Bombyx mori: one gene and its partners. The protein of the gene in region 2 purifies or fractionates together with the protein of the main gene of each other region. This does not show direct contact. Links are inferred from orthologs where the notes say so. Each region holds a gene or a part of one and is shown on either strand. Other genes may lie near its edges.

Region 1 (6,653 bases), on a different chromosome or scaffold from region 2:
AACACAAATTTGTATATTTCAATAAAAGAAATGTATGTAATGTATAACTTATTTTATTTATTATTAATGAACATTTTAGTCCTGCTTTAGTTCATATATTTGTATATATGCTTCAGTAAGTGTAATCATTTGAGGTAAAATACTGGTAACATGAAGATCTTGCATCTCATACCTGTGACAAAAAATTAATTTTCAATACTGGCAGTAATGTTTTTATTAATATACTGGGAAACACGCTATTCTTGGTTACGACCGTGCCATAGGCTATCTTGACTACAATCATTAAAATCTTGGAAGGAGTTTCAGGCCTAGGGTCGATCCTCCCCCGAGGTTTTCGAAACTAGGAGGAGCATCGAATATGTGGGACTATGACTGAAGAAGTTGATAAGAAAGACCTAACAGAACTTTGATATATTCTAAAATGCAATTTCCTAGAAATATGGGAATAATAGCGAAATTCTCGAAAAATACTTATAAGGTGAACATGTGGTCTTGAAATTATTAATACGGATATTTACAGAATAACCAGCATGGTAGATACTGACAAAACAAAAACCTAACTGCATTAAAAATACTGACTATAAAATAAAAAACAACCTCTATAATAGGTACCTCTAAAATACTGACGTGAATATTAGTAAGCATTGAAAAATACATAAATTAAAGATGGGTGTGGACGCTTTAAAACCTTTTTTGTGATCAAATATCTTAAAAGACAAGTAAAGTGTTGGCATAATTGTATTGGTACTCCGCATCACTCAAGCGGATAGCGCACCCCTGCCATGAGTAAATATGTAATAATTACCACTGCTGTGTAGGCTTATGCAACACGTGAGCTCTGTATGTCCCTTTCTCAGGTGTTCCATCATGAACAATGTTACCAACCAGTTCGTATATTGTTTTTCCGTTATGTTTCGCCTTAATTTCCGCAGTCAGTATATCGCCAAAATCGACGTTTCTAAAATAAAATAGGTTAATTAATTTAGACAACTAACATTGTTGTGAATGATGGACATTTTAAAAACACTTCTATGGCCAGAACAGAAAAGCGTTGCGTTTTGCGAATAATAATGTTCAAAATGCCAATATCATTAAATTAATAAATAAACGCAATTTTTCAACTGTTTTGATAATTTTAAATTTAGTTAAATTTGTTATTTAATACAAGCTTAAATCAACTATTTTCTATCAAATAAGATCTGAACAATAATGACTCACTTGACAGGAAAGTTTACAACTGTAGGATTCTTTTCAACGAAAAAAGTATTTTTCGTAAACCTTTTTATGTAAAGAATTAGATAAGGAGGCAGCTGTGTTATTTCAAATCTTTTCAAAAAGTTCTCTTTATAAGTCTTGTATTCTTTTGATGTTTGACCATTGAATTTTGACAACAGCTGGTAAAGATTTACCTGTAATATCACAAGAATGTTAAAAATATTCAAGCAGAAGTTTCAAATAGTTTTTATGTTAAGTTTTTTGTTTTAAATCCTATTTAAGTGGATGTGAATTGATATAAAAAAACCAGTCTTAATAAAAAAATAAAAAAGTTAGTGAATACAATTTTTAAATTGCAACAATACTAGGTATTTTCACCTGTGGAATAATATTTTCGCGGAACTCATCAGTGAACAATGGCGTTGGAGGCAAATCACATGTGAGGTACAAAAATGGAGACTCAGTGATCATTTCATTGTACTCTTCACTGCTAAGATCGACTTTAGCTGCATCATCAGCATCCGGCGGTGGCAACTTTCTGAAAATTTCAGTCTGTTCAGAAATTTTTGACTGCATATAATGATAGATTAAATGTTAATTATTTTGAACTTTAAAAAATCAGATGCTTAAATCTTACCTTGTATAGATCCTCATGTGACCCAGAAATGACTTATAAATTATGGAGCTATTTGGCTTCTTTGTACCATTCAGTGCCATGTGTAATGAATTTAGAAACCAAGACAGAAAGTCTATTGGATCACCTGAGCAAAAATTTATTTATTTATAAATTTTTATTATTATTATAAAACAATATATAATTAAAATATAAAACTGATCAATCAATATTCATACTTTTTAGCATAATATACAGAAATTACACTAAGAAAGCATGTTCGTATATCCAAAAAACTACTAAAATCTTACTCTGCTTAATAAACTGATATCGCTTCTTAGACCACAGCACAACAGCCTGCAACATCTCGTGAGGAGATACATGTGCTTTAAAAGCACGGGGGTTCCATAGTTTGCGTAATAATTCACCAAATCTTTGTACAAGTAAAAAAGACGAGTCCCCTGGTGGTCTTTTTACACTAGCATAGTTCTCTTCTCTCAAAAAGTAGTTACGTAGGGGACGTACTTGTGACAAACACTAAAATCATAAAATGAATTTAGTATAAAACTGTGACAATATTAAGACTTTGTAGCACTGTGTAATTATTCACTACAAATATACATAATGGTTAAAACAGAATCAGTTTGACTGTAACGCATCTACTTTCACAGATCGCCGGCAACAAAAATATAAGTCGCATTTATCATACAATAAAAACAGTACATATCATAAAATGTATTTAATAAAAACATATACTGACCTGCAAAATTACATTACAGTAATCATTGGCCTTGATATTATTAAGGCCTACAATGCCAGGCATATACATTGTGCCATCAATGGCTCGTGACATCTTTGTGTTAGTATCTATAAGCTTGATCTGTTCAGGTGTGAATGTTGGGTTCAAAACATATTTGATGTCATTCAATGAAGAGTCTAAAATGTGAAATTGTCTTTTTTTATGACTGTGATAGGTAGATTAGCTCCCGGCTCATCTGATGCTATGTGATTACCCGCATCCCTATAACAGGAGTTCTAAGTCTCAGTTTTACAGTACAACAGTAGCTGTCCCCTTCACCAATGCACATTATTGCTTCACGGCAGAAATAGGCAGAGTGGTGGTACTTACAAATGCAAGCTCTTAAGTCACCCTTAGAACAAATTATAATTTATGCAAGTTTATTATAATCACAAGATGGATTTGATACATTCCTTCACCAACGAAGTGTTAAATACATATTAAAAAAATTGGTACCTGCCAACAGAATTCAAACACCACCACAGTTGCACTGCCCAATACAAATGCACTGGGTGTCTTGTCCATTAGACTATTACAAGTTTTAAAGCTTTACTGTACTTCTAGTCATTGATACCTAAATTTAAGCTTAAAAGTATTTTACTTGATTCCATTTTGGTGTATAAAATTTTAAAAATCAGTCAAATTTTCCTTATTATTAATTTACTTACAAAAATAAAGTCTAACAATTTATTTTAAGTTATCGCATGTGTTAACAACTGTAAAATGCACCAATTCTTAATCATAATATTTTATAAATATTTTCAATGCACAAAATCATCAATTGACCGAATTCATTTATATCTTATTATTATTTTATTTATAATTAATTTATATCTAACATAAAAGCTATTTTAGCTAACCAAGTTAAAAATATGTAATTTACCAATAACTTCATAATTGTCAGGAAGACAATAGAACTTTAATGTGTTAAGATTCAAAAATACATGGTGTCCATCAGCCACTGAATGTGTGTAGGCATGAGTGTTGGTGCCTCTTCCCTGGAAAGTAGATAGATTTTAATGATTTTTTCGCAAGTGATTAATTCAAATTTATGCCTAAGTCAACATAAATAACCTATCTTACATATCACTACAGCAAAGAACTGGAATGAAATGCCAGGAACAACACTGGCGCTCATAAAAATCGTCATCATGAAAACAAGTAACTTGCCTGTAAAAAAAAGTTCAAGCCTCTAATCACCAAAGCCATGACAATTGCATAAATATTTTGTTACCTGAAAATATTTACCGCACACTAAGCAAGCGTAAACATTGATTCTAGTCAATGAAACCGAGCACAATTTCTCAAAGTCAAAATCTAAAACATGCCGATTGATAGTATCCAGGTAAGGACATTGAATTTGTTGAGTTTTCGAATATCGTCCTGAAAATATAATAATACTTTGATTACAAATAGCAGTAGAGTGCAGAATCATAGAAGGTTAGAATTGCATTATCAAGTACCTTGTTTGTCAGTCCCATTTTCATCAGTTATTTTGCGTTTTCTAGATTGTTCTTCAGTCATTTTATTACTATCATAGACTTTAGACAATGTAGTTAAATGAAGAATCTGAAATCTAAATGTAAAATGTAAATATTAATCGTTAAATGAACTTTTTATGGGATTTTATGATACGGTAACTAAGACCTTTAGGTCAGGTCTTAATTAAATTTATATTCTTATTTTTATGAAAAATGGTAATACGAAGTGGTATGAAATGAAATGAGATAATATAGTATGAAATATGAAGTCGTCGTGGCCTAAAGGATAAGACGTCCGGTGCATTCGTGTTGAGCAATGCACCGATGTTCGAATCTCAGGTGGGTACCAATTTTTCTATTGAAATACATAACAAATGTTAACGATTGACTTCCACGGTGAAGGCATAACATCGTGTAATAAAAATCAAACCCGCAAAATTATAATTTGCGTAATTACTGGTGGAAGGACCTCTTGTGAATCCGCGTGGGTAGGTACCACCACCCTGCCTATTTGTGCCGTGAAGCAGTAATGCGTTTCGGTTTGAAGGGTGGGACAGCCATTGTAACTATACTTGAGACCTTATCCATCCTCCAAAAAGTTCACTAAAAAGTATCAGTAAATGACCACTATCATAGTGAGATTATATTTTATACCATATCATCTCATCTCATTTCACTTCATATTATCATTTTTCATAAAAATAAGAATATAAATTTTATTAAGAGTTGACCTAAAGATCTTAGTTACCGTGTCATAAAATCCATTAAAAAATATTTTAGTAGGAGTATGTGTTCTATTTTCGAACTGGAAAGGCAAAAGTATGATACCATACAGCCTAATCTTTCATATTTTTTTGCTTATGATAAATGATTATATGAAATGAAATGAAGTTGATTAATTTGGAACAATAATCAATTGGCATGAAATGAAACGTAATGAGATGAGATGAAATATAGTCTCAGTAAAATGGGAATTATTTTCTGAGACTTTTTCAATGGACTTTTAAAAAGATCCCGAGAAGCTACATTTAACGGCTTTGTTGCATATTCATACATTTGTGCACTTTCAAAGGTATTATACAGTCAATTAACCACCATTATTACGCATTTTAATCTGAAAAGACACTACATAAATTAAATAAAACAATTGACACTGCTACGCTCATAGATTAATATTTGAAAGCTTCGCTCCTCGAATTTCCGCCAAAAAGTTATTATTTTGCCAATATTGTAATTATAGAGTAACTTGGCAATTTTTGGTAATATTTAGGCCTTGTCCGCACAGCGATATTTCACCGCGCGATTTTTTTCTCGTAATTCTGTAACACATTTAATATTATAGAAGTATCCGCACTGGCGGGAACGAAATCGCGCGGGAAAAAAATCTGTGACTTGATGCAAATTGAACGCGAAGCGGTGCGATTTATTTCCGCGCGAATATTTTGTATCGTGTAGAGTAAGTATGGCTATGTTCGCACTGTGGAATAAAATTCGCGCATTTCGCTCATAGTCCTACAACCTCGCTATTGAAAAGATGTAGTAAAGTAGTTGTAGTAAATTATCGAATGATATTTTTGTCATTCTGTAATAGCCAAAAAACTTTTTGCTGTATTTTCGCACTCTTGATATTTTATGTAGAAAAAACTTTCATGGGTCTCAATGCCGTAAGTGGGTGAATCCAATTCTCATGAAATATTTTGATACGTTTGTTACGCCATCTTAGCATTAGATAAATTAAAATTTTTGTTCGGTTGTCCATTTTACACGTGCGTCTCAGCCGAGAACTTAAATAAACTGACGAAAATAGTACAAAATTTTATTCGCAGTGCGTACTAGGTGTAATGTCGATCGCGGAATTTAATACGCGCGAATAAAAACCTCGCGGTGAAATATCGCTGTGCGGACAGGCCCTTACTTTATACGGTATAAAATGTTTGCGCGAAAATAAATCGCACCGCTTCGCGTTCTATTTGCATCAAGTCACAGATTTTTTTCCCGCGCGATTTTTTTACCGCCAGTGCGGATACTCCTATAATATTAAATGTGTTACAGAACTACGAGAAAAATATCGCGCGGTGAAATATCGCTGTGCGGACAAGGCCTAAGCCATTTGTTTTTCTTTGACATTGAGATTGTAGGTAAGGATAATGTGCCGGATCAAGTATCGAGTATAGGAAGGTCGAAAACCCCACTAGAGAAGACGTTATAAACGTCAAGAAAATATTAAAAAAATTTGTGGGAACAAAACAGAAAGACATTTTGTTCAAACGAAACAAACCGATAGAGAATATCGATGCTTACAGTGACTCTGATTATGCTGGAGACCCATTGACGCGAAGAGGCACTTCTGGTTCCGTGCTAATGATAGCTGATGGACCATCCAAGAGGCAGCCTATAGTAGCGCTAGCGTCGACTGAAGCCGAGTACATAGCCGCAGCCGACTGTTTGCAAAGAGGCATTGTATCTCAAATCTCTATTACAGGAAATAACCGGTTTGGACATAAAAATAAATCTGCATGTTGATAACCAAAGTTCGATTCAACTT
Region 2 (6,639 bases):
TATCAATTCTAAGGTCTCAAGTATAGTTACAACGGTTGTCCCACCTTTCAAAGCGAAACGCATTACTGCTTCACGGCAGAAATAGGCTAGGTAGTGGTACCTACCCACGCGAACTCACAAGAGGTCCTACCACCAGTAATTACGCAAATTATTGCGGGTTTGATTTTTATTACACGAGGTTATCCTCCCGTCTCTTCTGTCAAGGATACTGACTTGTGCGCCCTCAATAAGCATTTTTCTCTCCCTCCTGTGTCACTTAGTGACTCGTCAAAGACGGCCACGTTGCTTAAGATTTCAAGTCTATCCGTACCCCGGATCCCTATTTTTGACTTAAGTCCAGTCTCGGTTGCTGATGTCCGTAATTTCTTTTTCTCCATCTCATCCACGGCTGTTGGAATTGATAACGTATGCTCTAAAATGATTGCCCTAATCCTTCCAACGGTAGCACCTATACTTACCCATATTTTCAACATTTCCTTTACCTCTAGCAACTTTCCTGATTCTTGGGAACAAGCCTATGTTGTTCCTATCCCAAAAAGCCCCAATCCTATTTTGCCATCTCAGTTCCGTCCTATAGCTATACTTCCTTTTCTTTCCAAAGTCCTTGAGTATATTGTCCACCGTCAGTTGTCGTCTTTTCTCCTCTCCCACAATCTTCTTAGCTCCTTCCAATCTGGTTTTCGCAAGGGCCACAGCACGGTTACAGCTCTTCTAAAAGTGACCGATGACATTCGCTGGGCCATGGAAAACAAACAACTAACTTTATTAGTGTTGTTAGATTTCAGCAGCGCCTTTAACTTTGTTGACTTCGATGTTCTGCTCGAAATACTCAAATCAAACAATATCTCCTCGTCTGCTATTAACTGGTTTGATAGTTACCTTCGGGGGCGCTCGCAATGTGTCCGTCTTGACGAGACTTTCTCGGATTGGCAGAACGTCAGTGCGGGCGTTCCCCAGGGTGGTGTTCTTTCTCCTCTTCTGTTTTCTGTGTTTATAAACTCTGTCACTAGGCTTATATCTTCTAAATTCCACCTCTACGCAGACGATCTCCAGCTATATCGCCACTTCTCAGAGCCTGACGTTGAATCGGCTATTGCTGCGATGAACAGTGATCTGAAGTCTATCACTGAATGGGCAAAAGCCTACGGTCTGCACATTAATCCGGGAAAATCACAGGCTATCATTATAGGGGGTAAACAATTGCGCAGTAGACTCAGCGATCCTATACTCCCCCCAATTTATTTGGATGGGACTCAAATAACTCTAACCGATTCAGTTAAAAACCTGGGTGTATGGATCGACATCTTTCGTGGAGTTCTCACGTTGCTGAGATTAGTAGGAAGGTGCACTTCGCCTTGCACTCGTTGAGATGTCTGCAGGGCTTCTTACCTCAGCATACAAAAATATCTCTCGTCCAAGCTCTCATTCTACCCATAATTGATTACGCCGATGCCTGCTACTTGGATGCCACTGAGGAGCTCTCAAACAAGCTTGAGAGGATGCAAAATCTATGTATCCGTTTTATATACAATCTCAGAAAATTCGATCATGTTTCACATTTTCGCAAAGAACTTAAATGGCTCCCTATACGCCTTCGTAGGAATACTCGAATATTATGTCTCCTATTCAATATCCTACATAAGCCCACTTCTCCCTTATATTTACGTGAGCGATTCTCTTTCATTCGTTCTCCTGATGCTCCCTGCAGGTCCAACCAACGTTCTGTTTTGTTATTCCCTTCTCACAAAACCAATTTCTATTCTCACTCCTTTACTGTGCACGCGGTCAGACTGTGGAATTCGTTGCCGGCTGACATCCGAGTTTGCAAGTCTGTTTCTGTTTTTAAATACAAGGTCAAACAATTTTATCTCTCATCAACCGAGTGATCATGGTTCTATACTCTTCGTATATACGAGTGTTACTGTGACTTATAATATTTTGTACTCAAGTTTAACAATATTTGGTATGTGTAAGTGCATTACTATAATTCTCATGTTGTATTTGTTGTTTTAGTTATGTATTATTTGTTCTACACACACTTATCACTTTTTATTATTATTCTCATTATCCTCTCGCAGGTTTGCTGGAAGAGATTTCTTAAAGAAATAAGCAGTGCCTTTGTACATAATTTTCCTATTACTCTGTACTATGTCTTTTTTTCTGTGTGTACATAAATAAATAAAATAAATAAATAAGTTATTCCTTCACCGTGGAAGTCAATCCAGAATATTAGTTGAGTATGTATTTCATTAGAAAAATTGGTACCCACCTGAGATTCGAACACCGATGCATCACTCAACACGAATGCACCGAACGTCTTATCCTTTAGGCCCCGACGACTTTTTTATCAAGGTATGTTGCTTAACACTCAGCTAAGCAGTTTCCCTGGCGAAAGTCGACGAAATGCGGTTTGAAGTGCTTGATCTTTTTTTTTGGACTGGGGGCCGAACTTTCTAGGAATACCCCGCCCCTAGGGGCGCATGGGGTATGGGAGTGAACCGCGGGCCTTCTTTTTGTTTTTTTTTAACGCTGTAGAATCCGTACGGTTACCCGGTTGAGGGGGCTTACTGACCGCTACGACTCCACGAAACCCACAATACCGCGCCGAAAGTCCGCCTTCGCCGGTACCGCGGGCCTAAAGGATAGAATTTAGGGCCATACCCACTACACAACTCCCCTGCACTCTCGCCCAATCGTCTGATACCCTTCCAGGTCAGAACCCGGGTGAGGTAAAGGGGTTATCGCGGTCAACACTACAGACAGCGCAGCTCCCCCGAGGACGTCCGGTCGACGGAGCCTTTGAGACGGAATGCTCTACAGCCGTCAGCCGTCTGGGTACGATAGCCCGTCAGGCCACCCACACAGTGCGACTGGAGTCCCGGAATACCCCGCTGGACTAGAACCAGGCTGTCGGGTCGGGATGCGATACATCGCCAACCGGTTGCTCTTTTTTCACGTTGATTGTGTAATTCTTCGGTAGCGCACTACAGTGCTTCAGCTGAAGCAACATCTATTTTTTTCTAATCCAAAAGTGTGACAGTTTTTTTTCGCAAAATAACTCCCGAGTGCTATTTAAACAGTTTGTACAGACAGTTGTTTGTTTGTTAAATAAATACATATACATAAATATATACATATAAAAATGTGTATATATAAATAAATATCAATTAGATGACTCTGCTAACTCTTAGCAGAGTCATCTAATTGATTCTAAGTACTCGAAACCTTGTCTTAAACTCTGGCCGACCTTATTTTAAGTGGGAGCGCATTCCATAGAAGAATAGATTGAATAGTGAAGGAAGAATGTAAAAAGTCCGAACTACCTGCGAACTAACAGCGAAGAAGAAGATTGTGAGATGAACGAAGATTTTGGCTGTAGTCAAACCCTAAGTATTCAGGTGGATTTGGGAAGTGCAACAAAGAGTAAAGAGTACTGAGAGCACGCAAGCTACGGCGTTGTCGAATGGGGAGCAATTTGAGTTGGGAGCGATGAGAAGATACATGATCGTATTTCCGAAGATTATAAATAAATCGAATGCAGTTATTGAGAAGCCGGTTAAGTTTATTGAGTAGATCTGCATTCAGGTCAAAGTAGCACACATCACCATAGTCGATCATGGGGAAGATCAAAGTTTAAACGAGCATTGTCTCTTGGTTTCGGGCGGAAGGATATTGTTCAGGCGGTAAAGCATACGGAGTGTAAGTGTAACTCACTGACACACGGAGATGACCTGGGCTCGCCAACTCAGGCTGGAGTCAATAAGTAGGCCTAGGTCCTTTACAACCGAACACCAGTTGATGGTTAAGCCAGCATATATTATTTGATAATAATATAAGACGACTGTGATATAAAAACTTTATTTAGTGTTTGAGCCATCATATATATTAACGGTAAGTCTCAATTGTTATTGGTTTTAATGTTTTTTGATAATTTAAAAATACATATTAAAATTGTTATGTTTGGGGTTAATGGGGTCACCTGAGCTACAAATAACAATGAAAGGGAGGTCAATTGGGACGACAATAAGTTGAATGGGAACGACTTAAGTATAAATACGTACAGGATTGTAGGGTTGTCTATGTAGTTATAACAATCTTTTTTAAACGTGTTGGTAAGAATCTCATTTATTCATGATGTTTTTGTCTAAAACTTTTATTTAATTATTAGTGCAATTATATTTATATTATCAGTTACGTATTGTTTTCTATTTTTAGATATGCCTCGCGTGTATGTATCAAAGAGTGCAAGCTTTATAAGAGATATGATCCCTTAATATTAAAAACAGCAATAGAAGACTATGAATTTGGGAATAAGTCTTTAGTTGAAATAGCTAAGCAATTTAATATAAGTAAGTCGGTTTTGCACAGATATATAACAATTAAATCTCAAAGTGGACAAAAATGTCTAAGTAAAGAAGAAGAAAAATACAGTTACACACATATTAAACAGTTAATAAACCACCATTATTACATATCTAAACCCGAAGAAACACTAAATAGACAAAATAAAACAAATCACACAACTTCACCCCTCGCGTTCCCGCCAAAAAGTCCTAAAACCAAACATCGTAGTCATAGACATAGATTATACACTTAAATATTCGAGTCATTGATACACATAATAAAATTAATAATTGAGATTTGAGACCATACCTTGATAGACATAAAAACATTGATTTCATTGATAGCGTACCTAACACACGGCAACAGACACACAATCACAATTAAGAAGAGGTACCAACCGTGTACCAACCTAGTTGAATCTGATTCACTCAATTTGAGTTCACCTATTCAAGAAAAGGCGCCCAAAATATTATTAGGGTGAGGATGAGTAAAACTTTGCTTAGTGTTCAATGATAATTTAGGAATGTGCCTATAGTTTAAAGTCTTTGTTAGATAAACCCAAATATTTTTTAATGTTTTTAATTAAAATTTGTTCCTTTTAGTTACTTTACCAAAATGTCAAAGCGTCCCGCTTCCGAAGCATTAATAGACGAAGTAAAAAAGGCCACGAAGGATGGCAAGAAACATTCCTTGGATTCCGACGAAGAAGATAGTGGTGCTGAAGAAGAGAAGAATAATGTTATGAACTCCAATGATATTGAAGGTGAAGAGGAAGGAACTGGTGGAATGGAAGGTGAAGTGAGTAGAATAAGTCAAAAACCTAATCAGAATACTCAAATTGTTGTGAGAATTAAAAAATGTTTCTTTTTCCAAACAATACTTAAAATGCTTTTGAGGATAATTCAGCTAATTTAATATTAACAACTTAATTAATACTTATAACTATCAAATAAAATATTAATTTCATTAATTAGTACTATTTTATAGATTACAATAACACCTTTTAACATGAAAGAAGAACTTGAAGAAGGGCATTTTGATACACAAGGACATTACCATTGGAAAAAAGAAAAAGAAATTCGTGATGGATGGCTTGATAACATTGACTGGGTTAAAGTAAAAGGTAGACCAGAGGATAAATATAAAATTCATCATAGCGATGAAAAAGGACTTGGTGATGAATCTAGTAGTGAAGATGAACAAGAACAACAATTTGATTTGATACATAACTATAAAGAAATATTACAACATATGAAACCTAAAGAAACAATTGCCAAAGCTTTACAGAGACTTGGTAAGTTTTATTCTGGTACCAGTTATAATTATGTTGTAATAAGTTTTTGATCTGACTAGTGCTCTTAAACGGTTGTTACCAAATGTTCACCATAGTACTATGTTATATGTATAAATGTGTCTCTAAATGGGAATCATTTGGTATGTATAATAAGGTGGAGCACCTGTGTGGAGGTATTGCTGTTGGCTTTTTTAACTTCACCGGGCAATCCAAGTGGAGTAATATCCAGAGGATTTGAAAGCTGTAATCTAGTAAAAGGAGCTGTAACTGAGATGCATCAGGCCATATACTTAGCAGGTCCTGCATGTTAAAACTTTTGAAATGTTCATAGTATTCTTGCATTTTTTACTGTTTGTTGTTGTTTGTTCATGTTAATTAATTTAAATTTCTCTACTTTTAAGAATTACATTCAGTATCATATGGTGCTGTTCAATAACTTGACAGTCTATTAATAGCCTACAAACCACACATATTTTAAAAAGATTATTACAAACAATGTACATAATTATTAACAAATAGTTTCCATGAGTGGAAGATCTTACAGCCCAGCTTAGTGGTTACTGTAGTCCATAGACATCAACAACATTAATGTTGTCGCCCACCCTGAGATATGAATATTAAGGCCTCCGTGGTTACAGTACAACAGCTGCCTCATCTTTCAAACTGAAATATATTACGCATTCATCACAGAAATAGGTAGGGTGCTGGTCCTGCATATGCAGACTACATGTTCCACTGTTATTTATTGCTTAGCTGATAATATAATTAGGATGAATTACTAAATGAACATATAATATTTTACAAACAGGTGCCACTTCTAAAATGTCTAGTGCAGAACGTTGGAAAAGAAAAAAAGCTGGCATTGTTGATGGAAACAGTCAAATTGTAACAAGAGTTACTGAACTTGCTAATCAAATCTTAACAAAAATGGGAAACATGGACATCTATCAGGAGTCCTATGAGAAAATAAGCAAACTATTAGATAAGAAGAAAAATAAGAA
Region 3 (5,691 bases), on a different chromosome or scaffold from region 2:
TGTTAGTTTTAAGTTGAGGTGAATTTATCCGTTTATAAAGAATATTTTGATAAATATTGAAATCATAATTTGATCGTGTTTGCTACAGATTTTAAATGATTATGTTTTTTTTTATGTCCTTTATGTACAATAAATTTACTTATTTCAAACCTTCGATTTGTGATTATTATTTTGGATTTACCTAATCCCTTTCCGGAAATGTAAATTGATTGAATGTTCAGTAAGTAGTATTTTCACATTACAAGATACTATATAAAAGTTATACACAACAGTTGAAAGATGTAAACAGTGGTTGTTGGTATTTCAGGGAAGGTTCATAGTACCACAAAATAACGAGAGGTGGCGCTCGATTTCTTTTAATAAATGGGTGTTTCTCATAAATCTAGAATGTATTAACAACTGCCTGAACTTCTTCATAGCAAACCTAACACATCAAGAGCAGCTGTTTCGCTAATGAATCGATAACGACATTGTGATAGCGATCCGCTGAGAAGTGTCGGCGAGAAACTCAGTGGGCTGATGCATTCTCGCTTTACTGTCGAAGAAGGTGTCTTCGACGCTGTTTTTATCCTCTCAAAAGTCGTGAAGATTTCAAATCGTATCTGTCTTCAGCGAAATCGTATCATCTTGTGCCGAGTCTTAGGCGGATTTTTTGAAAAATCTGATAAAACCATTTTATTCATTACAGTGGTTTTATTATGTTACCCACTCACATTTTAACAAATACTTATACAAGACAGAGGGATAGCATTTTGACGTGATTAATCGATAAGTATTGGCTACACGCACGAAAAAATGTCACGTTCCGCCTGAGCGTGCAAGCGAGAGCACGGAACATGCGATAGAGGCACGATCGGCCCTTTTTTTTCCCTACCTATGCTGATAGCCATGAGAGGCTATTTCAGCTTCACCCTAAGGTTTGTAGGTGAGCTCACGGGGCTCAACCGGAGAGTTGCTAACACTGACCCTAGCAAGAGCAGTGCTTCGCAGAATCTACCACCGGATCGGAAACGCGACCCACTGAGAAGATCCGGCGAGAAACTCAGTGGGCTGTGTCTATGGGTTAATTCGCTCGTCGAGCCCTTCGTCGCAAGCGACGGGTTCGACGAGGACGGTGACCAGAGTCGACCCAAGTGTTGGCTTGTGACACATTTATGTCGCGTGACGTCAGAACTAGCAGTTCGAATAGTTCTCCTACTGACTTTAACGTGTAAAACTATCGTCCGTAAACCGACTTTACAGTTAACCAAAATTTTTTTTTTGGTATTGCCCTGACATTAAGAGTACTATTGTCTCGCGAAATGGACTATAAGAATTTCAGTCATCCGTGCACGATAGACTAATGTAGGACATTAGTTTGTGACCTGTCTTTAGGTCTGCTCTAAATATGTTCTAATGCTTGTTCACCGACTTCCACAATCAATAGCTTATCCTGTAGGCGTTCAAATTCGAATGGGCAATGTTTATAAGTTCGTAATTCTAAGTGGAATGCAGGATAAGCATAAATGAGATAATATCACTATCCTGCATTCTGTACCTCATGCATCAAGGCTTAAGATGAGTGATGATTTATGTAGTGGGCTATGGCAACTACTTAATACCAAGTAGGCAGTCAGCTTTTTTCTTCATCCAGAGCAATACAAAGTGTGCAGCAATTCGCAAAATGTAGAAGTGTAACCTGTAGGAGTTTTCTATCTCGTTCTCTCACAGACTAGATACTATAAAATAATATGCATCTCTTTTTAGTCACTTCTAGAGCTTTAACTATATTAAAATAAGGTTGTATTATTTACTTTTTAGTTTCAAATCATAACCAGAATGAGAACCAAAGTTTTTTTAAATGAAAATTGTTTTTGCGAATGAGGTTGTGTTTTTAAACGAATTTGGAATCTAATACCCAAAGGCCAAAAAAGAGCAAGAAGGAATGGGGTAAAATACATTGAAGATCATTAGATTTCAATATATTTCCCTGTTTTCACATGCTCATTTTTTGCAAGGACAATATAAATCGCAAACCTTTTCTTGTAAAGTTAGTGTTGAGAAAATAAAACAAGGTTATGGTGAAAATTTACTTATAATTAATTATACAAGTTATGGAATTCATGCTGAAGAGGTTGTTTCAGACATAGTTATTAAAAAAAAAAAAGTATTAAAGTTGTTTCATTTAAACATTGTATACAACAATAGTTCCAATTAACATTTTTCTCCTCAATCATTAGTATTTCGGGATATATACCTAAGGTAATTTTACTGCTAACAGAGTAATATGAAATTTCTATTTTTTTGCTTAAAATTTCCCTTTTGCCTGTTATTCTTAAGATAATTCCTTATTCTAACTTATGTAATAATTACTAATTATTCTTTCATTTCTCCTTCTTCATCTTCTTCATCAGCTCCTCTTACATACAAGACATTATTGCATCTTATTAAAACTTCACCTAAATTACCTGGAAATAAAACCCAATACTTAAATTAATAGGGTTCTTAATTTAGTGTTTTGTATGTATGGACTAACAGAACTAACTGAACTAGTATTCAAAACAAACGCCGTTAAAGCTTTACAGAACTCTGCTGATATGACTTCATTAAGTTTGATGTAGCATGGACTGAATTACAATAAAAAAGATTCTTAAAAAAAAATATAAAAAAAAATATTTAAATGTTAAGATTTGATTTCTAAATTTTATTTACTAATTTAAATTAATTAAATTCACAAAACTATTCACAACCAAAAAGTTTGGTTTGGAATCTTGTAAGTGTCAAGTTGTCTCTTGTTATGAAATTTATTGATTTTGTGCATTCTTTGTAGCAAGTACTTTTTTTTTCTTTAAAAGGGCAAATGAACCCCATGACATTTAGTGTTAAGTGGCTTCTAGAATTTATAAGTTTATTACAATATGAATATTAAATCTACTCTTCAAAGCAGAATGCTTGAAAGCTTTGAAGTCGAAATGGGTGCAGAATAGTGTACTCATAATAGACCAAACAAACAATGAACGTCTCATTTTTAATTCAATTTTGGTCCAGGTCCACTACCAGTAGATCTTAATCTCTTGCTTTAATATGTTTTCGTGATTACTTAAAGTTGTTCACTTAAATACTAACCTGTACAAGTTCCATCGACAAGTTCTTCAGTATTAGCAAGTTGCAAATTCATGTAGCCATCTGTTGATACTAACAAACCTTTGTATTCATGACCCCATTTTAATTTAACTAGCACGGATTTACCCGTTAGACTATTAAGAAATGGTTTGGGATTTATTGGCATAGCAGCCGCCATTTTTGCAGGTTCTAAAAAGTAAATTGGATGTTAATTCATTTTCAAACCACCTTTATTGTTTTCATTGCTTATTTAAGAAACATCAGTACTTACTTTAATATCGGCTAACAAGAAATACAAAATATAACCTCAAAATGTATCGGCTTCGCTTCGAGTTCGACGCTAATTTCTACTCATAGATATTTTTTTATTTTTTATTTATGAAAGCATTGAATTTGCAACACGGCCATCAGCTACTCATAGATAATACACCACCATAGATAAAACACAGGTAGTTTAAAATTTATTATAATTAGTTCTTTCTAGGACTTTTCGGCGGGAACGCGAGGAGTGGTTTGTTTTATTTTGTCTAATTAGTCTTTCTTCAGGTTTAAATGTGTAATAACGGTGGCTTATTAACTGCTTAACTGTAACTGTGAAAGTGCACAAATGTGGGAAAACGAAACAAAGCCACTGAACGTAAGTTCTCGAGATCTTCCAAAAAGTCCACTGAAAAAGTCTCAGTAAATGATCACCATTTTACTGAGATTATACTTCATCCCATATCATCTCATCTCATTTCATTTCATTTCGTTTTCATTTCACTTCATGCCATGTTTCATATTATTCAACTTCATTTCATTTCTATAATTTTCATATAAAAAAGTTACGTAACATAAAATTAAAATAAGACTTGACCTAAAAGTTTTAGTTAGTCCAGGTCATAAAATCCCTTTAAAAAAATGTAGTAAAAAATTAATAATAGTATGTATTTCATCTTATTATTATTGAAGCCCAGTTGAAAAAAAAACTACAGAAAATGGTAATTATTTTCTTTAATTTATATAAACATAAAGTCCTGAGAAGTCAGGTCCAGTGATTTTGTTATATTTCCACAATCTTTTACACTTTCAAATATGTTTAACTAATAGAGAAGGGCTTGTAGCGACTAAAACGACACACCTAAGCTGAAAGTTCTCAACGTATTTGGAGGAATTCGCTATTGATAAAATGTGAAGAGAAGAAAAAATATGTGAAAAGCTTCCATAAAACTATATATTAGCAATAAAAACATTTAGATAAGTTTGTTTAATTAAAGATGGTATGAACGATCTTTGGCCTAACTAAAAACCATCAAATAATTGAAAGTAGAGTCGGTTTTTTTATAAAACTATTTTGGGAATAGAAAACGAGAACTTCAACATTGTGTGTTGAAGTGCTTATGCTGAGAGTAGAGCTATAACACCAAACCATTTTAAAGACAAAATGTACATATTGTTAAAATAAATGTTAAATGGATTCGAATAATTAAATGGGCGAAACACTATTTCAATGGGTTTTTGGCTTAAAAGACCAGAATTCAATCTAACGTGATTAAAAAAGTTCCAATAACGTCAAATAGTCAATGTCAAAGTAGTGTTGCAGAATAGTAAAAATTTGATGTGAATCAGTGTTGAATCAATGAAAATATAGATTTTTACGTTTACGATCTATCTATGAGTTTTGCAATTTTTTACATTAATGCACCTTATATGAAAAACATAACCCTGACATATCTATGTAAAAACAAATAAAACATGTCACAATTTACAGGTTTTAGTGAAGATGACTTGGAAAGAATTAAATCTGGCGAAACTGCCGATGAGAGTAAAAACAGTACGTATGGAGCTTGAAATATACTTTTTTTAAGCATATCAATAACTGAACGCTTATTCAGAGTTTTAAATAGTAGCGCATGCGATTAGAATTTGAAATATTAATATCTCAACATATATAAGTAGATCTAAGAACGATTTTTGGGTATAAATCAAAGCTTCTTCAAGAAAATTAGCTATATTCTAAATAATAATGATTGCCAAATGATTCTAAGAGTTTCAAGAAAAAATATAAATGATAAAAGTCACTGAAGCCAAATTGTGCAAGCAAAATTAAAGTAAAAAAAAAGTAAAATTGATCACAAATTTGCTTCTTTATTACAAATGTCAGTGAAGCATAGTCGTATCTACTAGATATCTATAATTTCTACTTCAGTAACATATAATCCACCAATTGGATTGGCCTATATCAGTGCCTTGCACAACCTTATTATTAATGGTGTGTGTAATGCAACAATTTTTACTGCCTATGAGACAGTCTACATTTAATAACAACTACCATTTTAATTACAGAGTACATAAAAAATTCTAATATAAAACGAGTTAAATTATCAATGAAAACCAAGCCATATGAATATAAGACAGCCATTAATCAAAAACAGGATTCAGACGATGGAATAGACAGCATAGATTTTGATAAATGTAAGCTTAGTTTAAAAACACCAACGTCACCCTCCAAAAATGCTAAAATGGAGGAGGACAAACAAAATCAAGTTATTTTGCAAAATAATGTAGAGGGAAATGATGAAGTACAAGTAGATACTATCGAAGCAGACA
Region 4 (5,868 bases), on a different chromosome or scaffold from region 2:
GAGTGTTAATGCTGCGGTGGCTGCGGCCCAACACCTGAAAGTGCAGATGCAGCAGAACAATGCAATACCCCCACCGAGTGTAATCAAACCTGTACTGTATTCAAAACCTGGTAAGTCTCAGTTTACACCTCAAGCACCGGTCCGGACTCCGACATGCCCCGCCCTCCATCACCAGTGGAGAGCGGAAGTCCGGCGATGTCCTCCTGACCAAAAAAAAGCTTTTTTTTTTGCTTAAATGGGTGGACGAGCTCACAGCCCACCTGGTGTTAAGTGGTTACTGGAGCCCATATACATCTACAACGTAAATGCGCCACCCACCTTGAGATATAAGTTCTAAGTTCTCAGTATAGTTACAACGGCTGCCCCGCCCTTCAAACCGAAACGCATTACTGCTTCACGGCAGAAATAGGCAGGGTGGTGGTACCTACCCGCGCGGACACACAAGAGGTCCTACCACCAGTAAAAAGTTCTGTATTACACGTATTTATTTATTTATTTGGGAAACAAACTGTACAATACAAACATATAATATTTAAAAAAAAATAGCTAAAACAATAATCAAATATGTTTCCACAATCAAAATCACATATAAATGTAGAAAGTGAACAGAGAAGAGAAATATAGAAATTTCAGAGTTACAAAAAAACAAAAGGAACACAATACCCACATATTATTTTGTACATCAACTTACACTATAAGACTATAATATATTATACATATAATTTTGACGTGACAACGTCTTATATTTCGATGGATGCACGCACGAAAAAACATGACTCATGCGGCGTTACCTCGCTCTGAGGCGTTCCATTTAAGGCTTGAAGTGCAAGCGAGAGCGCGCAACGAGCGACAAAGAGGCACAATCGGCCTCCGCGTTCGGCAGCGTTCGACATCTGTCTCTCTCCTACTTGAGTGAGCGATGCATCCGCGTGGACAGCTGCTATACAATAATACATTTACATGTTTTCGTCAAGTATGAAGTTCAGTGAAAAGTGAATGTGGTGTCAATTGTTTATAGCAACGATAATTATTGAAAAATGAAACCATTCCATCAGTATTTTCTTATGACGTTGTCACGTTCAACTATCGTCAGTAAACCGACTTTACAGACAATCGTTTTTTTTACAGAAACTTTGCCGTTATCACGCGAAGAATTGGAGAAGCAAAGGAAGATAGCTGAGCTGCAAGCGAGGATACAGCGGAAACTTGCAGGTATTTGCACCTCACCGATCATTAATACTGTCAGGGTGTTGTGAACTATCATATAGTCATCTGTACCTTGTTACCTTCCTCATAGATAACACACACAAATTAGTTATAGATAAGCAACTCAAGCACTCAACAAAAATGTTTACGGGCGTCGGCCACTGGATGGCTTCGCTTCGATTATTTTCTCATTGCTCCTGTAGATGGCAGTAACATATTACCTATCCTATATTTCATTTTTAATGAAGGATTTTGTAAATTAATTACTGTCGAAATTATTCTTCGCAACCCCGGATTTGGTTTTGTACGAGATAATGATAAAGAAGCCTTTATTAACAACCTTAATTCATATTTAGGTACTATGCATACTATACTTTATTTATAACTTCATATACTATAAAGTATAAAGGCGGACTTAATGCCGCAGGCATTCTCTAACAGTCTACCTTAGGGGAGTGCAGAGATGAAGCTTGGTAGGTGTAGTGTGATAGTGATATTAAACATAATGTGTATATATAACATACATATTATAGATACAAATACTCGTACTTAAATAAATACATATACATAGATTTGAATTTGAATTTGAATTTAAACATATAGATATACATAAATATATAGATATCATAAATATATACATATGAAAACATATATAAACAAATATTATCAATTAGATGACTGCTCACTCTCTGAGAAACAGTTCTCGAACCATCGTCTTAACCGCTTTTTTCTCTTTGCATTTGACATCGACTAAGATTGTTTTGCTTTCGCATAGGCCTCCCCCAAATCCTGCCCTAAGTTCCGGTCGTGGCATTTCCTCTTCCAACTAGAGCCTGCAATGACTTTCATGTCGTCTACCCACCTTTGGAACGGTCGTCCTTTTAATCTTTTCCCATCTCGAGGGTACCATTCAGTTACTAATTTAGCCCATTTTTCTGTTCAGCTCCTTATTAAATGACTTATCCATTTCCACATTAATTTTTTAACTGTGTATGATACATCCGTTATTTTTGTTTTCATACGGATGGATATCTTTTAATTTTATTTTATTCTTTTGTTTTAGCATTTAACATGCTTCTCTCCATACTAGTTACGAGACGCTTTATTTATGTTTAATTTTCTCTGCTTGGTTATGCAATAAAAGACGTTTCGTTGTCAGGGGGTGCCTTATCATCGACGCCGGGGTCGGGACCTGCCCCCCTGATCTTGGACCGTGAGGGTCGCACCGTGGACACCACGGGCAGGATAGTTCAACTCACCCACGTGGCGCCCACGCTTCAGGTTAGCCAACGATTTTTTTAATGCGTTTCGGTTTGAAGGGTGGGGCAGCCGTTGTAACCATACCTGAGACCTTAGAACTTGTATTTCAAGGTGCGCGGCGCATTTACGTTATGGATGTCTATGGGCTCCAGTAACCACTTAACACCAGGTGGGCTGTTAGCTCGTCCACCCATCTAAGCAATAAAAAAAAAATTAAAAAAAATATTGCCCTTGTAGGCAGAGGAGCATACGGCCCACCTGATGGTGAGTGGTCACCGTCGCCCATGGACTTTAGCAATGCCAAGGGCAGAGCCAAGCTGCTGCCAACCGTTAAATACTCTCCACAAGCCTCGTTTGAAGAAGGACATATCATAGCGCTCGGGAAACACCGTGGAGGGGATCTCATTCCATAGCCGGACGGTACGTGGCAGAAAAGACCTCTGGAAGCGCACTGTGGATGACCGCAGTGGCTCCAGGTAGTATGGATAAACTCTACTCCGGTGGCGGGCGGTGTGATGGTAAAAACGAGATGATGGGATCATCTCAAACAATTTCTTCGAGCGGCGGTTACTGGTGGAAGAATGTGTTGTGAGTCCGCGCGGGTAGGTACCACCGCCCTGCCTGTTTCTGCCGTGAAGCAGTAATGCGTTTCGGTTTGAAGGTTGGGGCAGCCGTTGTAACTATACTGAGACCTTAGAATTTACATCTCAAGGGCGGTATTTATGTTGTAGATGTCTGTAGGGACCACAAATGTCCCCATTGCAATGCATTGCATTGCAACAATTATATGTATGTGTTAGTGGTAATGATATTGCAATGATGCTAGGTCAGTCTCGGGATTGTCGGGCTGTCGATAGCACGTTAGGTTGTAATCCCAATATACGTTAGTCACTTAACTGGACACGTGTCTTATTATAGAGACCCAACATGTCTATGGGCTCCAGTAACTTAACACCAGCTGGGCCGTGAGCTGGTCCCCCCCCAATAATTCGATTTTCAGGCGAACATAAGAGCGAAGAGACGTGAGGAGTTCAAAGCTCAGTTGTCCGGTCCCACTGAGGAGGTGGGTCCGGAGTCGTCCCGCTGGGTGGACCCGCGCGTGTCCTCGCGCCCCCACGCGCGCGCCAAGCGGCCCCTGCGCTTCCACGAGCCCGGCAAGTTCCGCCAGATGGCTGAACGGCTAAGGATGAAGGTACTCCGTCTTGACAACTCCTCGACTCACCACAGGATCCCTTCATGATCAGTACCTCAATTACAGGATCCCTTCATGATTGATGAACAAACACAAGCTTGTTGTGCCGATGAGTAGGTTACATAAGATACGAAATTCATTCGGGTGTTTGTCTGTGCGCCTGTACAACAAAATCCCACAAGATGTTCAGAACCTTACTCGTGGTAGGACCTCTTGTGAGTCCGCGCGTGTAGGTACCACCAACCTGCTTATTTCAGCCGTGAAGCAGTAATGCGTTTCGGTTTGAAGGGTGGGGCAGCTGTTGTAACTATACTGAGACCTTAGAACTTATATCTCAAGGTGGGTGGCGCATTTACGTTGTAGTTGTCTATGGTCATGTCGTTTAAAGCCAGATGTGTCAATGAAGATCCCCCCCTCCCCAGGCGCAACTGGAGAAGCTGCAGAACGAGATATCCCAGATAGCGCGGAAGACCGGCATCTCGTCCGCCACCAGGTTAGCGCTGCTGGCGGCCGACGCGCCCGACGCCGACGGACCCCCCGACGTGGAATGGTGAGCCCCCTCCCAACCCCCCGGGGGACCTGACCCCTTTCGGTACCCCTAAATAACATAGTCATAATTCTAGGGAGGAGCTTAGATAACACGTTCACACTGGTATATCGTTATCAAAGTTTTGTAATTGAATTTGAAAAATTAATTACCTAAAGGTGGGTAGTACCTATCTAACAACTAAACAGTGCCAGCCCTATCGAAAAACTCTATTGTCTCCATAGGTGACCCGATTCACCACAAAAGCCAAAGTGAATCAGGTGAAGCTGGTTTTTAAAGTTTTGTATAGATTTTTCAATGAACTATATATAATAATGCGGCGTATATGAAAATTTAAGTATCCGGAACCATTTTAATCTCAATTTTATTGGTATTACCTTGAGAGAAACCGCTGAAAATTTGTGTTGGAATAGGAAAGCGGCCCGATTCCCCCCAATCTACTGAATATATTTTGATACTTTTCCAAAAACACTGCGCAATTCTACTCTGAGCGAACTCCACATTAATATACATAGACGAGTGGGTACTGCGCTTTGTGTGTTTGTTTGTGTATGCGATTATTTATTTTATTTATTTTATTTATTTATAACTTTATATACTAGACAGTATAAAGGCGGACTTAATGCCATTCTTGAGATGAACCTTGGTGAGTGTGGTGTGATAGTGATATTACTTAAACATATGTGTATATATAACATACATCATATTTATAGATACAAACACCCGTACTTAAATAAATACATATACATAAATATATATTTACATATAAAAATGTATATAAATAAATATTATCAATTTACGACTTTTGAATAAAATAAAACCAAAATCAAATCAAGCGCCGAGCTTTTCATTAAGTTCGCGCGCACGTTCTGCTACTTGGCTTCGATCGCGAGCGGTACGAGCGCGTACAATATGCGGCGGCTACAGTGACAGCTGTCACTTTTGACACGTCGTCTTCTCGCATTAAAACTGTATAATCTCAAAACTTACTAATTTTACAGGAGAGTGTTTTAAAGGTTCAACATGTGGTATTTTTAATATTAATAATCATCTTCATCATCATCATGCTTTCCTATTACCCTCTGCTGGGGTGTAGGGCTCGAATCAAATTTTTCCATTTGTATCGGTCTTGGGCAGTCTGTTCTAGCTCCTCCCACGTCATGCCCAAGACCCCTAGCTCCTGCTCCACCGAGCGACGCCAAGTTGTTCTGGGGCGGCCTCTCTTCCTTTTACCAGACACTTTCCAGGTCAGTGCTCTCTTTGATAGGTGTGTATCGGGCTTTCTCAGAGTGTGACCAATCCAATGCCACTTCCGCGTAAGGATCTCCTTCTCCACTGGTGTCTGCCTAGTGATCCTCCACAGCTCTTTGTTAGTGATCTTCTCAGGCCAAAAGATTTTCAAAATCTGACGCAGGCACTTATTCACAAACACTTGAAGTTTTTTGATCAAGTCCTTGCGAACAAACCAAGTTTCGCTCCCGTACAGCAATACAGACTTTACATTTGAGTTGAAGATCCTCACCTTTGTTCGTCTTGTTAAGGTTGAGGAACTCCACACTGGCCTAAGTTGACTAAACGCGGCTCTGGCTTTATTTATACGAGCCGCAATGTCTGCCTCGGTGCCTCCCCTATCGTCCACAATGCTGCCCAGGTAACAGAAGCT
Region 5 (5,868 bases), on a different chromosome or scaffold from region 2:
GTAAAATGAAGAAGTAGATAGACAGATATCTGTCCTCTGGAACTGGACATTTGAAACTGTGCCTTTATTGCGTCTAGTTTTAAGATTACAGTTTAGATTAGATTAGTTTTATTGTTAAAAATTGCATACTATTGCTCTAATTTATCATTCTACTAAAGGTATAAAAAATGTAATGAAAACATTTAAGTGTTATAGTCCAGATATGTAAATAATTAGGTGCTCACTCATAAACTTCTGTAAAACAAGTGATTTGTAACAACATTAGAGAAAAGTATAGAACCCATAGTTGTAAATTGTTACTGTTGTTGTACCCATGAACATTGTTTTACAACATGAATGCCAACAGACATCTAGAGACAAGGTAGAACATATTTTCCATAAAGTTAATGCTAGTTAAAAATTTGGCACAAAAATGGACTGATATATGTAAAATTAAAACATCGATTCGATGGATAAAACATTGACAAGCAAATTTTAGAACTAGAATAAATTTATATATTATTTTTTTCAATCGTCCTTCTGATTATCTAGAAGATTGCACAAAGTGGGTATGAGTTGCTCGCTCCGGGCATTTCAATATTGCAATAATTGTTACGTTATAATACTCATTATAAAAATGAATATAAAAAAAATATATATATATTTAAAAAAAAGATATGCCCGCTGAGTTTCTTGCCAGTTCTTCTCAGGTCGAAGGCTAGTTTTTGTGAATTGGCGGTAGTTCTTTTTGACGTTCAACAAGTATGTACTTTATGTTGAATATTTCTTTTTTTATTTGATTTTATTCCTTTTGATTCAGTAAATATTCTTAGAATTTGTCTACTACGCTAATATGTCATGTAGGTTTCCACCTGAAGAGTGATTCAATCAACAATAATAATTTGTCAGGTGAAGCCGATGAATCGGATCCGTTCGGCAACACGAGCGCGGAGTACATGGCGCGCAAGGAGGAACAAATAGAGAAACGTCGCAACAGGAAGGTGTCCGCTCAGAGACAGCAAATAGACAAGGACAACGACCTCTGGGAACGGAACAGGATGCTGACGAGCGGGGTTGTCCACGCCATCAACGTCAACAACGATATGGATGAGGTGAGCAACTGACAGGTCCTTGTATAGCGCACCGCCGCACATTGTGGTCGTATTCTTTTTTTTTTTGGAGATTTTATGACCTGGTAACTAAGACCTTTTAGGTCATGTCTTATTTAAAATTATATTCTTATTTTTGTGAAAAATGATAATATGAAATGAAATGAAATGAGATGAGATGATATGGTATGAAATATAATCTCAGTAAAATGGTGGTCGTTTGCTGAGGCTTTTTCAGTGGACTTTTTGGAGGATCCCGAAAAGTCACGTTCGGTGGCTTTGTTTAATTTTCCCACATTTATGCACTTTCACAGATAATAAACAGTTAATAAACCACAGTTACTACACATTTAAACCTGAAGAAACACTAACTAGACAAAATAAAACAAATCACACAATTTCACTCCTCGCGTTCCCGTCAAAAAGTCTCGTGGTCATATTCAGAGGTTTATGTTAAACAGAGAATCAAATGAGTATTTTAAAAAAAGAACGTAAAGTACAGATTATATTTATTTTTGTCACAGACTATAACAGAAAACTAACAGGGAAACATAAAAAGTCTGTACAATAAGTTCTGTGTCCTGTGTTCCAGGAGAGCGTTGACCGCGTCCACCTGCTGGTGCACAACATCGTGCCTCCATTCCTCGACGGAAGAATCATATTCACGAAGCAGCCGGAGCCCGTGATACCGGTACGTGTGCATAAACTTCACGTAAAGTTACTGTCTGTATTGCTGTCGGTACATCTGGTGTGATATGGTCACCAGAGTCCTTGGTCACGTGAAGTCGAAGTCTCGTAGCATTGTGTATCCATTGCCCCCCTTTCAAAACGGAACACGGGACTGCTTCACGCGTGGGTCACCGTTCTGCTTACTCGCGCCGCGAAATAAATATGCATCTTAACCCATGCATCAGCCCGCTGAGTTTCTCGCCGGATCTTCTCAGCGGGTCGCGATTCCGATCCGGTAGTAGATTCATTCGCGAAGCAATTGCTCTTGAGTTGTTAGATCTCCTTCGGACGCGCTCGGGCTGCTGTTAGCAAATCCCACCCCTCCTGACCGAGCCCTTGCTTGCCCACCTGTCCTAGTGAAACTGGAAAGGCCTCCGGGCCACCAGTAATCCTTCAATCATAAAAAAATGCAGTTTCGTTTGTATGCACAGATTTTTTAAATATCGATTCTTTAACCTCATTAGTAAGCACGGCTGACATAATTTATGGTTTAAAGTCGAGGGACTCCGGTATTCACTTTATTATTGTCCAGGAAGGCAGTCCAGCCTTACGCCTTACCTAATGGTGAGTGGTCATCGTCGCTCATCGACATGAGCAATGCCACTATTGTAAAAAATATATAAATATATATGTATAAGTAAATAAGATTTTATTTATTTATTTAGTTGCACCAACAAAGTGATTATCAATACAAGACATTGATAAATTGACAAAAGTACATGGCAGATGTCACCTCAATTATACAGACCGTTCAGCATAAGATGTCCCCTGCCTTGAGAGTTGGTAGCATTGCTAACGGTGTTGCAAACAATATATGTACCTTTTACTCCCTATTATCTTGTGTGTAATGTAAAATTATTGTTTTGGCTTCTGTTGCTCTAATAAAGACCCCCTATATTAGTTTTTCTTCAATATCTTCAAAGCACAGATATCGACCTGACTTATTTTTATTATATGTCTAGATAATATATAGCTAACAGACTAGGAAGTTTGTAAATTATAACACAATTTAAATTTTAAATTATTTATTTATTTCATTTTTACTGACAGTAATTATGGTCGAAAGAAACGATTCCAGACTGTCACTTGCATAAGCGTCGTCTGACGTATCCGAATCTGTACTGCTGTCGTTTCTTAGTTCAATTATGAATTTATCCGTAATATTATCCATGCAGCCATCACGTTCATAAAATTTGTCTTCTAAATGTTTTACGTGTTCACGCTGTTTTTGCCAATCCTGAGGAGTTATCGATGAAAAAGCTTCTTCAGTTAACTTCACGATATTACCAGCTTCTTGGCCGACATTATTGCTAGCTACTCGAGATTTGAGTTTTTGAGACGTAGAGGCAGCAACTTCACCTTCTTTAGTTATTCTACTCATAGTTTTCTCAGACATGCCTGAAATAAAGACATAAAATTTGTATCCTTTTATAAAATTTAATATTTATATAAACTCAAGTAATGACCATATTATCGAAATAAATTAAACTCACTGAGATGTGTACTTTTTTATTTTAATTCTATATGTCAGTAAATTCTTATTACCCATACTAAAGGCATTGTGTCTGAAGCTTGTATCCCCATTTTACTAACCTGTCATTGCGGCGACTCGTGCTCGCACTTGATCGAGTCTAATTAACGGGGCTTGGTTTGCCTTTTCTCTCTCACAAAAGGCATGAACCTTCAACACAATCTCTCTTGCACTGTTTTTAAATGGCTTTGGCATGAATAATTTGAAGGTTATTAAATATTAACACAAAAACTAACGGCACACGTCACAACAGACAATCTGACAACAACAGATTGACAAAAATTACAAGTAATAGTGCCAACATCACGGCAGGGGACAACTTACGGTGAACGATCTGTAGGTGCAACGACAGTGAATTGACAACAAAAATAAAATAAAATATATACCTAAAACTTGATTACATCTGATTACTTATGATTAATTTATATTTAATCGATTAATTTATAGTTTTAGTTTCGTGATATCGATTAGAAAGTTTGTTTAATAATATTTTAAAAAACTTTTTAGGTAAAAGATCCTACGTCGGATATGGCGGTAAACGCACGAAAAGGCTCGGCCTTAGTGAAAGCATTCCGAGAACAAAAGGAGAGACGGAAAGCTCAGAAGAAACATTGGAAATTAGAGGGAACCAAACTAGGTAAATGATACCCGCCAATATTCTCTTCGCCGGCTTTACTAGACACATTAAAATTATAACGTCTCTTTTTTAATACAGGCAACATCATGGGAATACAGAGGGAAAAAGAAGAACTCGAAGATGGCCCTACAAGAGAAGCGTACAAATACGCGGAGCATTTAGATAAAGGTATGTACGTGAAGCGCGCTGTGTGCATTTCATTTTCGTTACGAAGTAATTTTCAATCTACTTCCTTTTTTCAATCTGGCAATATGCGTTTGCAACGCCAATGTTACCACCAACCAATATTAATGAATTTATAAAAACCATTAATTATTAGAACCATAAATATTCCGTCTTACATGATAAAATGATGATGAATGAAGTTAAGTTGATTTATTTTAATAGATTTTTTAATCTATTGACATGAAATGAAACGAGATTACCCTAATGTCCCAGTGTAGATGTTTTGAAGGAAAGTGCGAAGCCATATCCAGTGATTTTGTATCATTTTTCGCTACGTACACAGACGCTAAACTGCTAATAAATCACTATTAGTTACTAGCAGAAGCATTATAATAAAATTAACACTAAACATAATAACGTATCGAATGACCCATTTTGAACTTTTGCAATGAAAATGCACGTATCATCTTCATGACTTATTCTTACCAATTAATCTACAGTTATTATACTACTTTTGAAGTGAAAACTTCTTTAGAATCGTTGTGATTTCAAACCGGATGCAACGGAAAAAACGACAGGTAAGAGACACAAATACAAAAATGTGTAGGATGAAGCCAGCAAAGAATGAGACAGAAATATACATACTATTTAATACAGCGCCATCTGTGAGATTTTTCAATACTAACGTGTGTATGAAAGCTCTTGTAGTGAATTTTAATTTAGGATTATACGTGAAATTAAAATATCAATTCACAGAGGGCGCTACCTTACAATTATTTACTAATGACAAAATTTTACATATACTTAAGACGTTTAGGATAATTGTATTTTAATTTTGGAAGGTTTCACTTCTACCACGTGTGAATTGCACACATTTTGTTTTTTTGTTTTTGTTTTGTTTTGTGTATTTTGAGTAATACTTGTCGTATACCGTTATCTACCCGCTATGGTAGAAATAGGTACCAGTAAGGGTTAGTATGATTAGTGTTAACAAACGAAACATTTAACGCCAATTAGCTGCCCGCGACTTCGCCCGCCAACTCGACGCGCAATGTAGGTATTTGTGTCCACCACACGACGCGCAATGTATTTGTTTTATAAAACTTTTCCTTCATTCTCAGAAGCTCAGGAACCGGAATCGAAGTCGGACTTCGTGAAGAAGATGTCCATATCGGAACAGAGGCGCTACCTGCCCGTGTTCGCCGTCCGCGAGGAGCTGCTGCAGGTCATCCGGGAGAACAACGTCGTCATCATAGTTGGTGAGCAAAACGCGGGCTGGTGGGGCGCCGGTGGCGGATCAATATTCAACTTTATTATTACCAGTGTTACGGCTCAATCTCGCTTTCTTGTTGCCATTAAATTAGTTTCGATGTTGCGAATACTATACAATTTTAGTAATCACGGATGATTGGATGATGATGATGCGTATATAATACATGGGGTTAAGGTGCTTGAAACGGGAGCTAAACTTAAATTGGTTATATTAAATTGATAAATAGATTTTTGTAAATGTGTGGTTATTTACAAGGAAAGGTTTCTTGGAATCGTTCCCGTGGTTTTCTCGAATAAGGGTCCGTTCACACAGATCGGCTCAGAAAGGAGACCAGGTTTATATCACGTTAGAAACAGAGTTTTGAGTAAAGTTTATTGAAGTTGAAGTTGCGTTAAACGTCTAACGCTACCGTACTAGAAAGAGACCGAGCGAGAGTGAATGCGTG

Evidence for each region.
Region 1: the proteins of CD2 antigen cytoplasmic tail-binding protein 2 homolog (region 2) and ubiquitin carboxyl-terminal hydrolase 39 purify together in Homo sapiens (affinity purification with mass spectrometry; 5 studies listed by BioGRID and IntAct, with this or other methods). This does not show direct contact. The link is inferred for Bombyx mori from reciprocal best matches to the Homo sapiens genes CD2BP2 and USP39.
Region 3: the proteins of CD2 antigen cytoplasmic tail-binding protein 2 homolog (region 2) and small nuclear ribonucleoprotein protein F purify together in Homo sapiens (affinity purification with mass spectrometry; 4 studies listed by BioGRID and IntAct, counting the BioPlex papers as one, with this or other methods). This does not show direct contact. The link is inferred for Bombyx mori from reciprocal best matches to the Homo sapiens genes CD2BP2 and SNRPF.
Region 4: the proteins of CD2 antigen cytoplasmic tail-binding protein 2 homolog (region 2) and U4/U6 small nuclear ribonucleoprotein Prp3 purify together in Homo sapiens (affinity purification with mass spectrometry; 3 studies listed by BioGRID and IntAct, with this or other methods). This does not show direct contact. The link is inferred for Bombyx mori from reciprocal best matches to the Homo sapiens genes CD2BP2 and PRPF3.
Region 5: the proteins of CD2 antigen cytoplasmic tail-binding protein 2 homolog (region 2) and pre-mRNA-splicing factor ATP-dependent RNA helicase PRP16 purify together in Homo sapiens (affinity purification with mass spectrometry; 3 studies listed by BioGRID and IntAct, counting the BioPlex papers as one, with this or other methods). This does not show direct contact. The link is inferred for Bombyx mori from reciprocal best matches to the Homo sapiens genes CD2BP2 and DHX38.

The regions. Positions count from the first base shown.
Region 1 is NC_085121.1:4,080,106-4,086,758, reverse strand, and holds ubiquitin carboxyl-terminal hydrolase 39, read right to left. Parts: upstream 4,274-6,653; 5' UTR 4,152-4,273; coding exon 4,091-4,151; intron 4,011-4,090; coding exon 3,862-4,010; intron 3,626-3,861; coding exon 3,511-3,625; intron 2,765-3,510; coding exon 2,589-2,764; intron 2,366-2,588; coding exon 2,140-2,365; intron 1,977-2,139; coding exon 1,853-1,976; intron 1,754-1,852; coding exon 1,594-1,753; intron 1,410-1,593; coding exon 1,219-1,409; intron 959-1,218; coding exon 806-958; intron 173-805; coding exon 76-172; 3' UTR 38-75; downstream 1-37.
Region 2 is NC_085111.1:10,748,528-10,755,166, reverse strand, and holds the start of CD2 antigen cytoplasmic tail-binding protein 2 homolog, read left to right. Parts: upstream 1-2,439; 5' UTR 2,440-3,891; intron 3,892-4,215; 5' UTR 4,216-4,349; intron 4,350-4,575; exon of another isoform or gene 4,576-4,821; intron 4,822-4,946; 5' UTR 4,947-4,959; coding exon 4,960-5,142; intron 5,143-5,331; coding exon 5,332-5,638; intron 5,639-6,446; coding exon 6,447-6,639. UniProt on the Homo sapiens protein: Involved in pre-mRNA splicing as component of the U5 snRNP complex that is involved in spliceosome assembly.
Region 3 is NC_085117.1:15,789,885-15,795,575, reverse strand, and holds small nuclear ribonucleoprotein protein F, read right to left. Parts: upstream 3,452-5,691; 5' UTR 3,374-3,451; intron 3,292-3,373; 5' UTR 3,281-3,291; coding exon 3,106-3,280; intron 2,448-3,105; coding exon 2,356-2,447; 3' UTR 2,059-2,355; downstream 1-2,058. Other genes in the region: RAB6-interacting golgin, read left to right, coding at 4,837-4,915, 5,428-5,691. UniProt on the Homo sapiens protein: Plays a role in pre-mRNA splicing as a core component of the spliceosomal U1, U2, U4 and U5 small nuclear ribonucleoproteins (snRNPs), the building blocks of the spliceosome.
Region 4 is NC_085130.1:18,555,530-18,561,397, forward strand, and holds part of U4/U6 small nuclear ribonucleoprotein Prp3, read left to right. Parts: coding exon 1-110; intron 111-1,128; coding exon 1,129-1,212; intron 1,213-2,365; coding exon 2,366-2,487; intron 2,488-3,466; coding exon 3,467-3,658; intron 3,659-4,080; coding exon 4,081-4,208; intron 4,209-5,868. UniProt on the Homo sapiens protein: Plays a role in pre-mRNA splicing as component of the U4/U6-U5 tri-snRNP complex that is involved in spliceosome assembly, and as component of the precatalytic spliceosome (spliceosome B complex).
Region 5 is NC_085117.1:18,328,222-18,334,089, forward strand, and holds part of pre-mRNA-splicing factor ATP-dependent RNA helicase PRP16, read left to right. Parts: intron 1-888; coding exon 889-1,091; intron 1,092-1,680; coding exon 1,681-1,779; intron 1,780-2,825; exon of another isoform or gene 2,826-2,838; coding exon of another isoform or gene 2,839-3,215; intron 3,216-3,410; coding exon of another isoform or gene 3,411-3,543; exon of another isoform or gene 3,544-3,855; coding exon 3,856-3,985; intron 3,986-4,063; coding exon 4,064-4,153; intron 4,154-5,271; coding exon 5,272-5,409; intron 5,410-5,868. Other genes in the region: uncharacterized protein LOC105842458, read right to left, coding at 2,839-3,215, 3,411-3,543. UniProt on the Homo sapiens protein: Probable ATP-binding RNA helicase. Involved in pre-mRNA splicing as component of the spliceosome.